Linked DNA regions of Tribolium castaneum. The protein of the gene in region 2 purifies or fractionates together with the protein of the main gene of each other region. This does not show direct contact. Links are inferred from orthologs where the notes say so. Each region holds a gene or a part of one and is shown on either strand. Other genes may lie near its edges.

Region 1 (4,141 bases), on a different chromosome or scaffold from region 2:
CACAAGTTTACATCAAATTACTCCCACCAATAAAACAACATAATACATCACAAACTTTTATTGTTCTAGAAAACCGAAATCGCTTGTCCAAACTCAGTTTCCAAATTTTTCTCGTCTCGAATTTTCGACTGGAGCAAAATACACTCCAAAATTCCAATCCTTACATCCATTTCCACAATCTCAGACTTGACCTTACCCAACTGTTTCTTAATATTAACCAAAGGGGCTGAAAAAAAATTATTTATTGTAATATCTACAAGACGATAAAATATAATTTCAAACGCTTGATAAGATAGATAATTGTGAATTTTATCCTTCCATTATATTGACTGAAAAAATGTCAAAAACAGAAAAACAGACACGGTTGCGAACTTTATTTTCCCAGCCGATAAAATTCCGTTTTACCATAAAGTACCCAACCAGTGGATAAAACATACTTCCATCCGTCATCGAACTCCCTCTCTCCTCCATTTGCTGTTTGACTGTCTCCAATCGATCCGTTAGCCTGAACAGCTCGCGATTCCTCTCAGCAACCCCCTCGCTGATCCCCTTATAAGCATCTCTGATTTTCGAGAGCTGATCTTGCAGCATTCTATATTCATCCAAATTATTCTCCAGCTCCCGATTGAGAAACTTCTCTCGACTTGCGATTTTATCAAGCGTTTGACTTATCTCCTTATGCAACTTCTCCAACTGTGTTTTAACCACACCAAGTGACGAGTCAACACTGACTTTGTATTGCTTCATTTGCTCTAAATGCGAACGCCAATCACGGTTTTCATTCTTAACTGTGATTTTTAAATGCGGGAGAACTCGCTCCAGTTCCAATTTCCACGCTTCTTCATTTACGTTCATTTTGATTTCGGCCATTTGGGGCTCTTTCCGGGCCACTTTCACGTTATCAAGGAGGAAAAGGTTTTCCTCGTCGGAATCGTCCGTGTAAGCTGCCAACATTTCCTCCTCCACACGGTCAAGGTTTATCTCGGATTCGTCGTTTATCAGCTCGCTTTCTTCCGCTTTTTCCTCGGGAAGCAAAGGCCTAACACAATTTTTAAAGCAAACAAAGGGGGATTTACTCACTTTTGGAACATGAAATTTTTCTCCAAAGCCTTGCTGGCCAGACTGTCCAAAATGTAAACCACTTGTTCGCCCACACCTTGCATCAGCTTATTGGCGTGGAAATTAACAGCAATTTCCTAGAATTCGGATTTTAATACTTGGCCAATAAATTAGTGGATGGAAACAGAATTTTTGATTTTACGTCTGTTTATTTTTTGATATTTGTTTTTTTTTGGCAAAATTTAGCGAAAAAAATGAGTTCCTAGCTGAAAAATTAAAAGTGCTTGAAAAAGGCGCAAATTTAGCGATAGTTTGGATATTTTTTTATTATTTTTAACTGAAATATTTAAAAAAATTCACAAATTTGGGGATTTTGTGGGAGATTTATTGTGAAATTTGCCAAAAATTTCGTGTTCCTAAGACGAAAACGTGCAGAAAATCATAAAAAACTATGTAAAACTGTGTTATTTTAAAATTGAGGTTTAATTTTTTATTAAGAATTTCTCGAAATATGAGAATTTTTACCTGAAAAATCAACTTACACGCTTGAAAAATTCCAAAACAACGCTAATTTTACCATAATTTGTTGCTTTTCGACGAAATTTGGTGGAAAATTAAAGTTTCAAATTAAAAAAAATGCTTAAATGTTTGAATTAAACTTTTTTGACCTGACCTGACCTGACCTAATTTGCTGTTTTTTTGTGTTTTTTGTCTCAATTTTGTGCCAAGATGCACAAATTTGACGATAGTTTAGATATTTTATATTAATTTTGACGAAAAACACATTAATTTCGTGATTTTTTAAGAAATTTATGACGGAATTCAGCAAAAATTTCGAGTTTTTGGACTCATTTATTTCAGAGTTTCTCAAAATAAGGAATTTTTGAACTTGGAAAATTCCAGAATATTGTCTTCTTTACCGTAATTTGCTGCTTTTTGACAAAATTTGGTGAAAAATTAGAGTTAAAAATTTAAAAAAAATGCTATAACGTTAGAATAAAACGTTTTTTCGATCTAATTTGCTGTTTTTTTGGGGTTTGGTGATTTAATTTAACGATTTGGGAATTAATATATAGTCTAAAGTTTTCAAGAAAAAATTCTAGTTCAAACATTTTATATAAAATTGGCCACAAAATATCTAATTTTAATTATTCTTATGCTATTTTGGTGGTTTTTAAGAGAGAAATCGTTGAAACTTTTATGTTTTTTTCGAAAAAAATGTGCAAATGTTACTTCTACTGTCGTAGAAAAAATATAGTATGCAACTCGCTTTATAAACTCGTGACAAAAATGACGTATCATACTGTGTTTTGTAAAAATACCAACTTATATTCTGTTTCCAACCATAGTGCAAATTTCAATAATGAATTACATTTTTTCGCACCACATCTAGTATTTTTTCCACGGTCACATTCGGGTCATCATCCTCTTGTGGCGTTTGGAAACTAATTCCAATCTTCTGTATTAAATAGGCCGCCAATAAGGCAAACAAATAAAATTGTTCGCCCGGGTTTTTGGTAACAACAAAATAATACCTGTAATTAATTCCATTACTATTTGAATTATTAAACTGGGGACTTTCCTATGGATGGGCTTGAGCTTAGTTTCCTTGAAAAATTCAGCTTCGTAATTCAACAATTTCAACTTATCTAGAAGCCCTTCCATTTGGCTAAAAGCCGAAAACGTTTGTTCACTCTCTTCTGACATTTTTTGGCGTAAAATTTCGTCAATTTGTATTCGTATTGTCATGGTAACGTGCGGCTCCGCCCACTTAGAGGGCGCCACATTTGACAAAAACAGTAATGGCGGCCGGTTGCTAAAAGTGGGCACAGCCGTCTCAACCAAACTCGAAAAAAAGCCAAAATGTAACGAAAATTTCGTAAAATTGTATTATGAAGCGTTGTGCCAAACTATTCGCTGTTGTATTTTTGGTTTTTGTTAGTGTTGCTAGTGTGATAAGACTGTGTTTTTGCTTTTGGTCTGGATTATTTGAATCGGACAATAAACCGGATGGTAAAGTCGATGAATGGCTAGAACGGAACAATTTGTCACCGTTCAAGGACTGTTTTGTTGACAAAGGTGAGTGAAATTAATGACTGATGACGTTGGAAAAAGCAGCGAAACGCGCCTGATTAAGGGTGCAAATGTAAGGGTGCGAGGGCGCAGTATCGGAATACAGTCGCCCAGGGTTACAAACAAAGCCAGGCACTGCAGTCGCTGGCGAGCACCCATCGACCCAGCACCTGCTACCACAGAAATACCATGAAACCCCTTGAAAACTCGCTCCGTATCAATGTAACATATCTGGGTTTGTTTTGTTGGTTGTGAGTGTGTTGTGTTAAAATGTTGTGGGATGACGATACTGAAATTTGCTCAATTGGCATGACCATGCAGCCGTCCGCTAGTGCCTCCTCTGGTAAGAATTAATTCAAAACACCAGGCCATTTTTTGGGGTGTAATGGCGATGGTAATTATACCACTGAAGGCGAAATGGTGGATGCGCCGGTTCTAAAACACGCAACTTGATTTTTTTCATGATTTTGTAAATTTTTTTATTTTGAATGTGTACCAATAATAAAAGTTGGTCATCTCACAGCAGGGAGTAAATGTGGAATTTGTTGGGCAAACAAATAGTAAAATTAAAATGGTTGCGGTTAAAATTCTACCATAAACTGTAGTCGTTAAAGTAACTCATTAGGGTCGCGTGTTATCGTTTATCAAAGGATATGTTCGAGGTAGGTTGGCGTGTTCAAATGCTGCCAACTTGGACGCATTTTGTGTTGGAATGATTTTTGGTGATTTTTTATTTTTATAGTTGGGGATTATTTGACTAAAAAAAGATTGTATAATTGTTAAAGACTTTACGTTTTTCTCTATACGTGATTTTTTTTCTCAGAATTTTTCGCAATTATTTATTTTCATATTAAACTAAATGCTTCGTAGTCCAAATCGTTTCAAATATAAGATTTTTTTTAATGGAACTAATTTTAATTTGATCAGTGGATCTTCACAATTGATTTTTTTCTGGAAATTTTCAAATTACGAAAAAAAATTCTGAAACTTTTAGTAAATTAAATTATTT
Region 2 (3,586 bases):
CAGTCATCGAGCGATAAACATCACTTTAGAGTATCCCACGAGCGCATCAATGGTCGGAACCAATAGCCAAGGTGAATGTTACGGTCAGCAGAAAAATTTTCCGACCTTGATTATGTAATTTGCCCAATTGGGCCGATTTGGAAATTGACCACAATGATTGGAATTGCATGGTGAAAGGATAATTCCTTGCAATTTTCTGCATGAAATTCGCCGAGTCCCTGGTAAGGCCGTTATGGTGACAGCGTCCATTTCTTCCGGATGAAAAGTAAAAGGACGATTCGGAGTTAATTAATGACAAAGATTTGCTCAGCGGTTTGAATACAATACTTGGGGTTATGTAATCGAGTTACGTAATGGTGGTTGATTGAAATTTGCGTTTTTGTTCTGGCTTTTCGATTGGTTGACCAATACCTAATTATTTCGCTAAACGGTTTTTATCACCGGCTTATTAATTTTTTGTGGGGAAACGACAACCCAAATTTGGTACTTGGAGTTGGGGACTGGCAGCCGGTGCATTCACCTCAGCTGCATTTGCAAATTCATCATTAAATAATTCAAAATAAAGTGTAGCTTTTATTGGTTTGACATTTTTAAAAATCATCATCGCTGTTATCATTCAACTTGTTCCCGGCCGGTTTTCCCGACTGCACCCTTTTGGTCAACTCCATCCCCGATAGTTCCAACCCCAAAGACTCGTCATCCGACTGAATCAACTCTGACTCGTCTTTGTCAATAAACAACTCGTCGTCTTCCGAATCCGAGCTCAAGGACGGGGTTGCGGACATCGGTGGTTGCATTCCGCCGTAAGCTTTGGCCGTCTTGGCAGTTCTAGTCCTCCCTAAAAAAAGACAAAATAAAAAAATAGGAACCCGTTATCTTACCCCCGGTGCTAGCTCTCGGTCTCTCCTGCTTTTGCCTCGCCTCGCTCTCCTCCAACTCCAGAAACGCCTCAGTTCCTCCTTCCAGCGGAATGGTTTCGATCCGAGGCGAAACCATTTGGAGTTGTTTCTCCAATTGTTGGCGCTCTGTCTCCGACACCAGCCGTTCCAGTTGGTTCAAAATGCGCACTCTGGTGGAGTACTGCACAAAGAGTTGCTCCAGTTCGGCCTCAAGAGCGGTAAACTCTTCCATAAAGGCCGGCCTGACTTTTTTCAACGTTTGGAGCCGTTTTTCGTAACGATCTATTTCGACTTTTCTGCGCTCGATCTTATTGTCCAAATTGGCCTCAGTTGCTGAGACGTTGTCAATGAGCTGTTTGCTTTCGTCAATTTCGGTTTTAAGAGCTTCGATTGCCTTCTTAATTCCGGCTTCAACTTCGTTGATTTCGTACTGGCGGCTAACACTTTTGTGTCTCGCCGCCTTCAGTTCCACTTCTTTGCCCAAAAGATCGAAAAGTGTGGCCCCGGTTGTAGTTATTTCGCTTGCCAGTTGTCTGGATAACTTTAATTCGTTTATCTGCAAAACACCGCCGGGTTATTATTAGTTGCCTACCTAACACAAGACTTAAGGCGCGTTCATCTCAAGGCCATCCAGAGAAGATTATAGAAAATCAACGTAAAAACTTGATCAACTTAGTTGAAACTAGAGGATGCGCCTTTACCTTGTCACTTAAATCAAAGTCTTTCAGACTCAACATTTCTTCCTCAAAATTTTCGTCCTCCTTTTCCTCCAAATTCATATTCAAAGCGTCATACAAGAGTGACGTAATTTTTAACAGTTCTTTAACTGCGTAACCATCGGCTTGATACAACCTTTTTGTATTCAGCTTGATGTTGGCTTTCAGGGCCATAAATTGCGCCGCGTTTCGAATCAATTTAACCCGATCATCTTCAGTATCAATCTCTGGCGGTATATCGACATCAGGGTCGAACCGCTTAGCTAACCAAACCAATAAATCGGCGACTAAAGGAAAATTAGGTGTGCGAAAGCTTTCCATTGAAATTAAAGACGGGTATCCTAAAGCCCGCATCATTTCAAGAAAATCTACAAAAAGGGATGATTTTTGCGAAAATATTTTAACCAAAAAGCTCACTTCGCACGTCTCTGAATGACATTTTAAGTCTTGTTTGAATGTAACAGTTGCTAAGTAACGCGTAACGCATGGCTGGGAAGGGTGGATCAGAGTAGGCATCGATTAATAAAATAGCTTTATTACACCAAAACAATAAATACAAAAATTAATAAATAAGACATATCACCCATGGTGGCAGTATTTTAGCCGGTACTTTTAAGAATCCAGTCGAAAATTTTCGAAACATTAGAATAAATTAAAACTAAGTCAGGTCAGGTCAAGTCTCAGGTACTGTCAAGTTGCGTCTAAGGAAAGGTCTAGGAAGTTCGCTCGAGCAGGAAACGTTGAGATTGACATCGGGAAGTACCATCACGTCTGGTTCCTCTTCCGTGGCGTTGTAAACTAGCCATTTTGAGTCTCCGGGTAGTACCTCCAGGTCTACCAGTCTCACATCGTCAGTGGTACCACCTTCGTCAAGTTCTAAGTCGCCTTCACGTTGCGAAACGTGTAATTGAACGGTGGCTCCGCTCGGGTCTAGATACTCCTGGCCCTTCACGCTTGAGATTTTCACGAATTTGGTACCACTGGATTGCTTTTTGGGGGTGTAGAAGTCCAGTTTGTCGTGTTCGTAGTTGGTCGAAAATTTTTCCACGTGGCTGAAAGGACGTGGCAAATCGTCTTGGTCTTCAAAATTAGGAGTCGAGTAGACGTCGCTGTAAAGTCTGTCGAAAGCATCGTCTTGCGGTCGCCGTTTTGAATAAACGTAGTTGTTTGAGTAAATGTAGGGGCGTTTTGAGGACGTGAAAGGCTGGTCTTCGTATTTGCTTTGGTAGTAGTTTTGCGGTCTATAGACCGAGTAGTCGTCACTGTAAAAATTCTGTTTGGTCGTCGAGTCGTACGGGCGTCGCGTTCGTCTGGTCGGTTGGGGAGTCGTCGGAGGGTAGTACTGAATTTTGATATTGACTTGGAACGGTTTGGGAGTTGGAATAGGGGTTGTGGACTCGGATACAACCCCAAATAGGTAAGTCACGTCAGGTCTAGTCGTGCGTCGGTCATTGTAACTGTCAAAAGTCGGTCTTTGTGGTATGTTATCTGGTACGTTGCCGTAACTGTCAGTGTAAGTCTGTTTCGTTTGTACTTTAACCGTGTGAGTCGTCGTGTTGTAAACCTTAACTTTGACGGGAGTCGCAACTTTGGGTTTTTTAGTAGTAGTACGTTTCAACTTCCGTCTCTTCCTCCCCTCTCTCCGAACTTCATTCAAGTCCTCTTCAACCCACGGCGAAAGATCGAAGTTGTCAATGACAGGATCGTCGCAGGACAATCGAGAGTTGCGAAAGCCATCAACAGTCAGAAAAACAAAAGGTTGGATCGTTTCAATCTCCGTCAAAGTCTGGCAAAGGACATGCGCAAGGGTCACGTGGCGGATTTGTTGCAGTTGCGCAGGAGTGAAGCTCGACTCAAATCCGCCGTTTTCGTACCAAAACCGGTCACCTTTCCGCAAATTTAGGAACTGTTGGGCTATGATACAGGCAAAAGTGGGGCCTATGATGCCCCCACGCACGGGTTTCTCGGCCA
Region 3 (3,363 bases), on a different chromosome or scaffold from region 2:
TTGGTGATTGTTGTTTACTTAATTTATTATTATAATAATTTATTTATTTTGATCGAGAAACCAAACATAAATACAGGGTGAGGCATTTTTTTTTATAAAATCTAGTGCGTGTGCAGGAACATTATTAAAAAGTATTTGATAATTCGATATCATTTTAGTTTTGACAGTTCTGACCAGTTTGTGGTCATAATATAATAATAAATAATAAATAAAATAATAATAATAGTAAAAAATAATAATAAAAAAGTAATATAAGACTCAAACAAATTTTTGTCATCAAAAATCTGGGACTTTTGAATCATCCAGTATTTGTGGTCACTCAAGATCAAGTTGCCTACGCAATTACGCACCAATTATGCTATTTTTAAAATATGCACATTTTATCAAACACTTTTAATTATTATTTACTTGCACGAGCTTGCAATAACAGACTATAGGTAAGTATTTCACAGAAGGGCAACAGGAATTGTAAACATAGCTTCGGCAAGACCAAAAGGGCATTTAAATTAATCGAGATCAAGGCTAAGATAATTGATTTATTTTGTAATTATCAAGAGTGTCCTCTAATCCAGTACCAACTGATCGGCAACGTTTCCAATCGACTCGCTTTCCTCAACTTTCCCAAGTTGGCCGTTTTTGAACAACTGCGAGCTTTTGACAGCTGCAAACAGCGAAAACAGCAAATGCAACGCTTGGATTTTATTTTTGACCGGAATTTGAAACAACCCGCAAACTTCCTGCACATAATCACTCAAATTTCCCTTAGGTTCCGGAAATCCGTTCTCACTCAGCTGTTTTTCCATACTTTCGGGCCATTCTTGCATCAGCTCGTCCAAATCGGGCATCGGTCTGGAAAACTCAGTCAGGTCAAGTCACTCAAAGTCTAACCTACTCTGTGTAACGAACGGCCGGAAACGACTTGCTTTTATGCAACGCTGAAATGTCTTTAATCCACTTATCGATGATTTTGGCGTTTTTCTCAACATTGTCGATTTTTTTGACCACCTGTTGGTGTAAAGCATGACTGAGGGGTGGGGGAAAGCGGGGTTAGGTACCACAGTGCTGTCATTGGTCGTTTTGACCGACTCCGCCCTCAGTTGCAAGTGTAGCAAGGCCGGGTCACTCTGATTGGCCGCCGGTTCGTCCAAAACCACCAGTCCCAGCTGCTGATTGGCTACGAAGTCCGCGTCGGAGAGCAACGTTTTTGGCGGGAGGACTTTTAAAAACGCGTCAATGTCGCCAACCGCTGGGAGAAATTCAGGCACGAAGGGTTTGAACTTGTGGTCCAAACCCATTTGTTGGGGGATGTACCTAAATATTTAGCAGCCCTGTAAGTATTTCAATCGACTCACTTTGTTATGTATTGAAATATGTCTTTAATTTCGGGACTAACGTCCAAATTTTCGTACTCCTTCGGGTCATATTCACCCGGAATTGCATCCTTTGTTTTTTCTTCGTCACTGTCGTCTTCACTGTCACTCGATAAACCTGTTGGTTTACGTAAGACAGTTTGGCGGCCCGAAGGGCCGGCGCTGGGGATTTTAGATAAGTGTTTGTCAGGGTCGTAGTCGGTGGCCGAGGCCTGAAAATCTAAGTACGGTTCTGGACACAGGTTGGGGGTTTTACCTGTCTGGTGGCCATTTTGGCTAAATTGGTTTCGTAATCGTTGATTGTTTGCGAGTTTGAGCGTTCAGATAACGCGCCTCCGTATTTTTTGAGGATTTGCTCATCGAAATTTTCGCTCTCTTCTTCGTCCTTTCAAGTGAAAATTGGGTAAAAATTTATTAGGGGAAATACCTACAACTTACGTCAACAATTGAAAATGACCGTTGCATTTTTGTGTCAAAATAATGATTTTGATTTAGAAATGGCGTTGTTTTGTTTGTATTTCGTTACTTAGCAACCGAGTTGCGTGGATACTGAACAGGGGATGTAACTTGATTTGTTTTTTTATGCGTTAGTATGATTTTTAGAAAATGATACAATCAAAAAAACGACTGTAAGTCAATTTTTTTTAATGAAAAATGGAATAACTATTTTTTCAACAGCACGCAAAACTAGGTATAGAGGGTGTTTCAAAATTGACGAATTCCAAGTTCAGATGAAAATTGTTTCGGTAGTCCAATCGTAAAAAAATTAAATAATAAAAATAAAATAAAAAAATGCAGGGTGCTCAAAAACTGGCGCACCAACTCAGTGGTACGTTGTTGAGAAGCATGTGTAGATCACGGGAAAAATCTTGAAAAAATTCCTAAACCCATATTTAAAAAAATCTGGAGCTACAAACTTATTTTGTTAACTTCTTCAGTTTTCATTATTTTTTTATGTTTTTATGTTTCATACCAGGTAATCGTTCCGTAACAAAACGATGAATAATTATTTTAAAATTTACTATCAGATTCTAGCAGTTTTTTTAATTTAAAAAAATTAAAATTTATCCAAAAAATCCCAATGTGTAGATGTGCCAACACTGGGAATTATTTCCTAGGAAACCGTTTCAAAAATAATTTATTTTTATTGTTGCTCAAATTCTATTGCGATCAGGACTATTAGACAACGTTGCCACATATCATTTATCTAAAATCCGTTATTTATCAATAACTTTAATACAAAGAATTTTTTTACTATTTTTACCTTTATATGTAACCAGTTCTCTACCACACACCATTGAGTTAGTGCGCCAGTTTTTGAGCCCACTGTATAATAAAAAAATTAAATAAAAAAATATAATAAAAAATAAAATAAAAAAATAACATGAAAAAAAATAAAAGAAAAAATTAAAAAAATTAAAATAGCTTTCTTATGGAGCAAAAAATTTTTAAGTTTTTGTAATTTGCCGTTTCAATTAAAGAAAAATATAAGTTTTTTTTACTTCAAAATGAAGTTAATTTTTCGAAAAATTGTTTTACATTGTTGTTTTCCACAACCACCTACATCAAAATTAACAATAGACATTGAAATTTTTAACATGCTAACCAATGTGTCTTTGTGGGGAAGCCTCGAATTTTCTACATTTGGACTACTGAAGTGATTGTCTACAATGCTCTGAACTGGGAATTTGCCAATTTTGAGACACCCCCTGTATATGTTTTTGAGGAAATAAAAAAATCTGAACCACTCCATTTTAAAAAATCCTAGTTTTTTAGGGTTGACTGTACAAATTATAATACTTGTATCAAAAAACTTCATACACGATAGCATAATTTGTCTTATTTGTCTAATTAACATTTTTTCCTTCCTAATTAAGGAACAGTAATTATCGTTTAAATTTCTAGAAATGTGCTTGCGTGTTTATAATACATAATAGATAGAAAAAAGTAATAAGAATAACAAATTAATATGTACCCTGGTTCTATGAAATGT

The links.
Region 1: the proteins of Cluap1 (region 2) and IFT57 purify together in Homo sapiens (affinity purification with mass spectrometry; 4 studies listed by BioGRID and IntAct, counting the BioPlex papers as one, with this or other methods). This does not show direct contact. The link is inferred for Tribolium castaneum from reciprocal best matches to the Homo sapiens genes CLUAP1 and IFT57.
Region 3: the proteins of Cluap1 (region 2) and IFT46 purify together in Homo sapiens (affinity purification with mass spectrometry; 3 studies listed by BioGRID and IntAct, with this or other methods). This does not show direct contact. The link is inferred for Tribolium castaneum from reciprocal best matches to the Homo sapiens genes CLUAP1 and IFT46.

Annotation. Positions count from the first base shown.
Region 1 is NC_087402.1:750,125-754,265, forward strand, and holds IFT57 (intraflagellar transport protein 57 homolog), read right to left. Parts: upstream 2,824-4,141; 5' UTR 2,809-2,823; coding exon 2,640-2,808; intron 2,593-2,639; coding exon 2,432-2,592; intron 1,197-2,431; coding exon 1,081-1,196; intron 1,040-1,080; coding exon 438-1,039; intron 227-437; coding exon 66-226; 3' UTR 44-65; downstream 1-43. Other genes in the region: apoptosis-resistant E3 ubiquitin protein ligase 1, read left to right, coding at 2,952-3,138. UniProt on the Homo sapiens protein: Required for the formation of cilia. Plays an indirect role in sonic hedgehog signaling, cilia being required for all activity of the hedgehog pathway.
Region 2 is NC_087399.1:4,924,536-4,928,121, forward strand, and holds Cluap1 (clusterin-associated protein 1), read right to left. Parts: upstream 2,129-3,586; 5' UTR 2,103-2,128; coding exon 2,033-2,102; intron 1,984-2,032; coding exon 1,601-1,983; intron 1,456-1,600; coding exon 882-1,455; intron 839-881; coding exon 591-838; 3' UTR 561-590; downstream 1-560. Other genes in the region: chorion peroxidase, read right to left, coding at 2,289-3,586. UniProt on the Homo sapiens protein: Required for cilia biogenesis. Appears to function within the multiple intraflagellar transport complex B (IFT-B). Key regulator of hedgehog signaling.
Region 3 is NC_087400.1:5,250,742-5,254,104, reverse strand, and holds IFT46 (intraflagellar transport protein 46 homolog), read right to left. Parts: upstream 1,936-3,363; 5' UTR 1,836-1,935; coding exon 1,809-1,835; intron 1,756-1,808; coding exon 1,627-1,755; intron 1,583-1,626; coding exon 1,353-1,582; intron 1,312-1,352; coding exon 1,056-1,311; intron 1,006-1,055; coding exon 893-1,005; intron 850-892; coding exon 564-849; 3' UTR 524-563; downstream 1-523. UniProt on the Homo sapiens protein: Forms part of a complex involved in intraflagellar transport (IFT), the bi-directional movement of particles required for the assembly, maintenance and functioning of primary cilia. May play a role in chondrocyte maturation and skeletogenesis.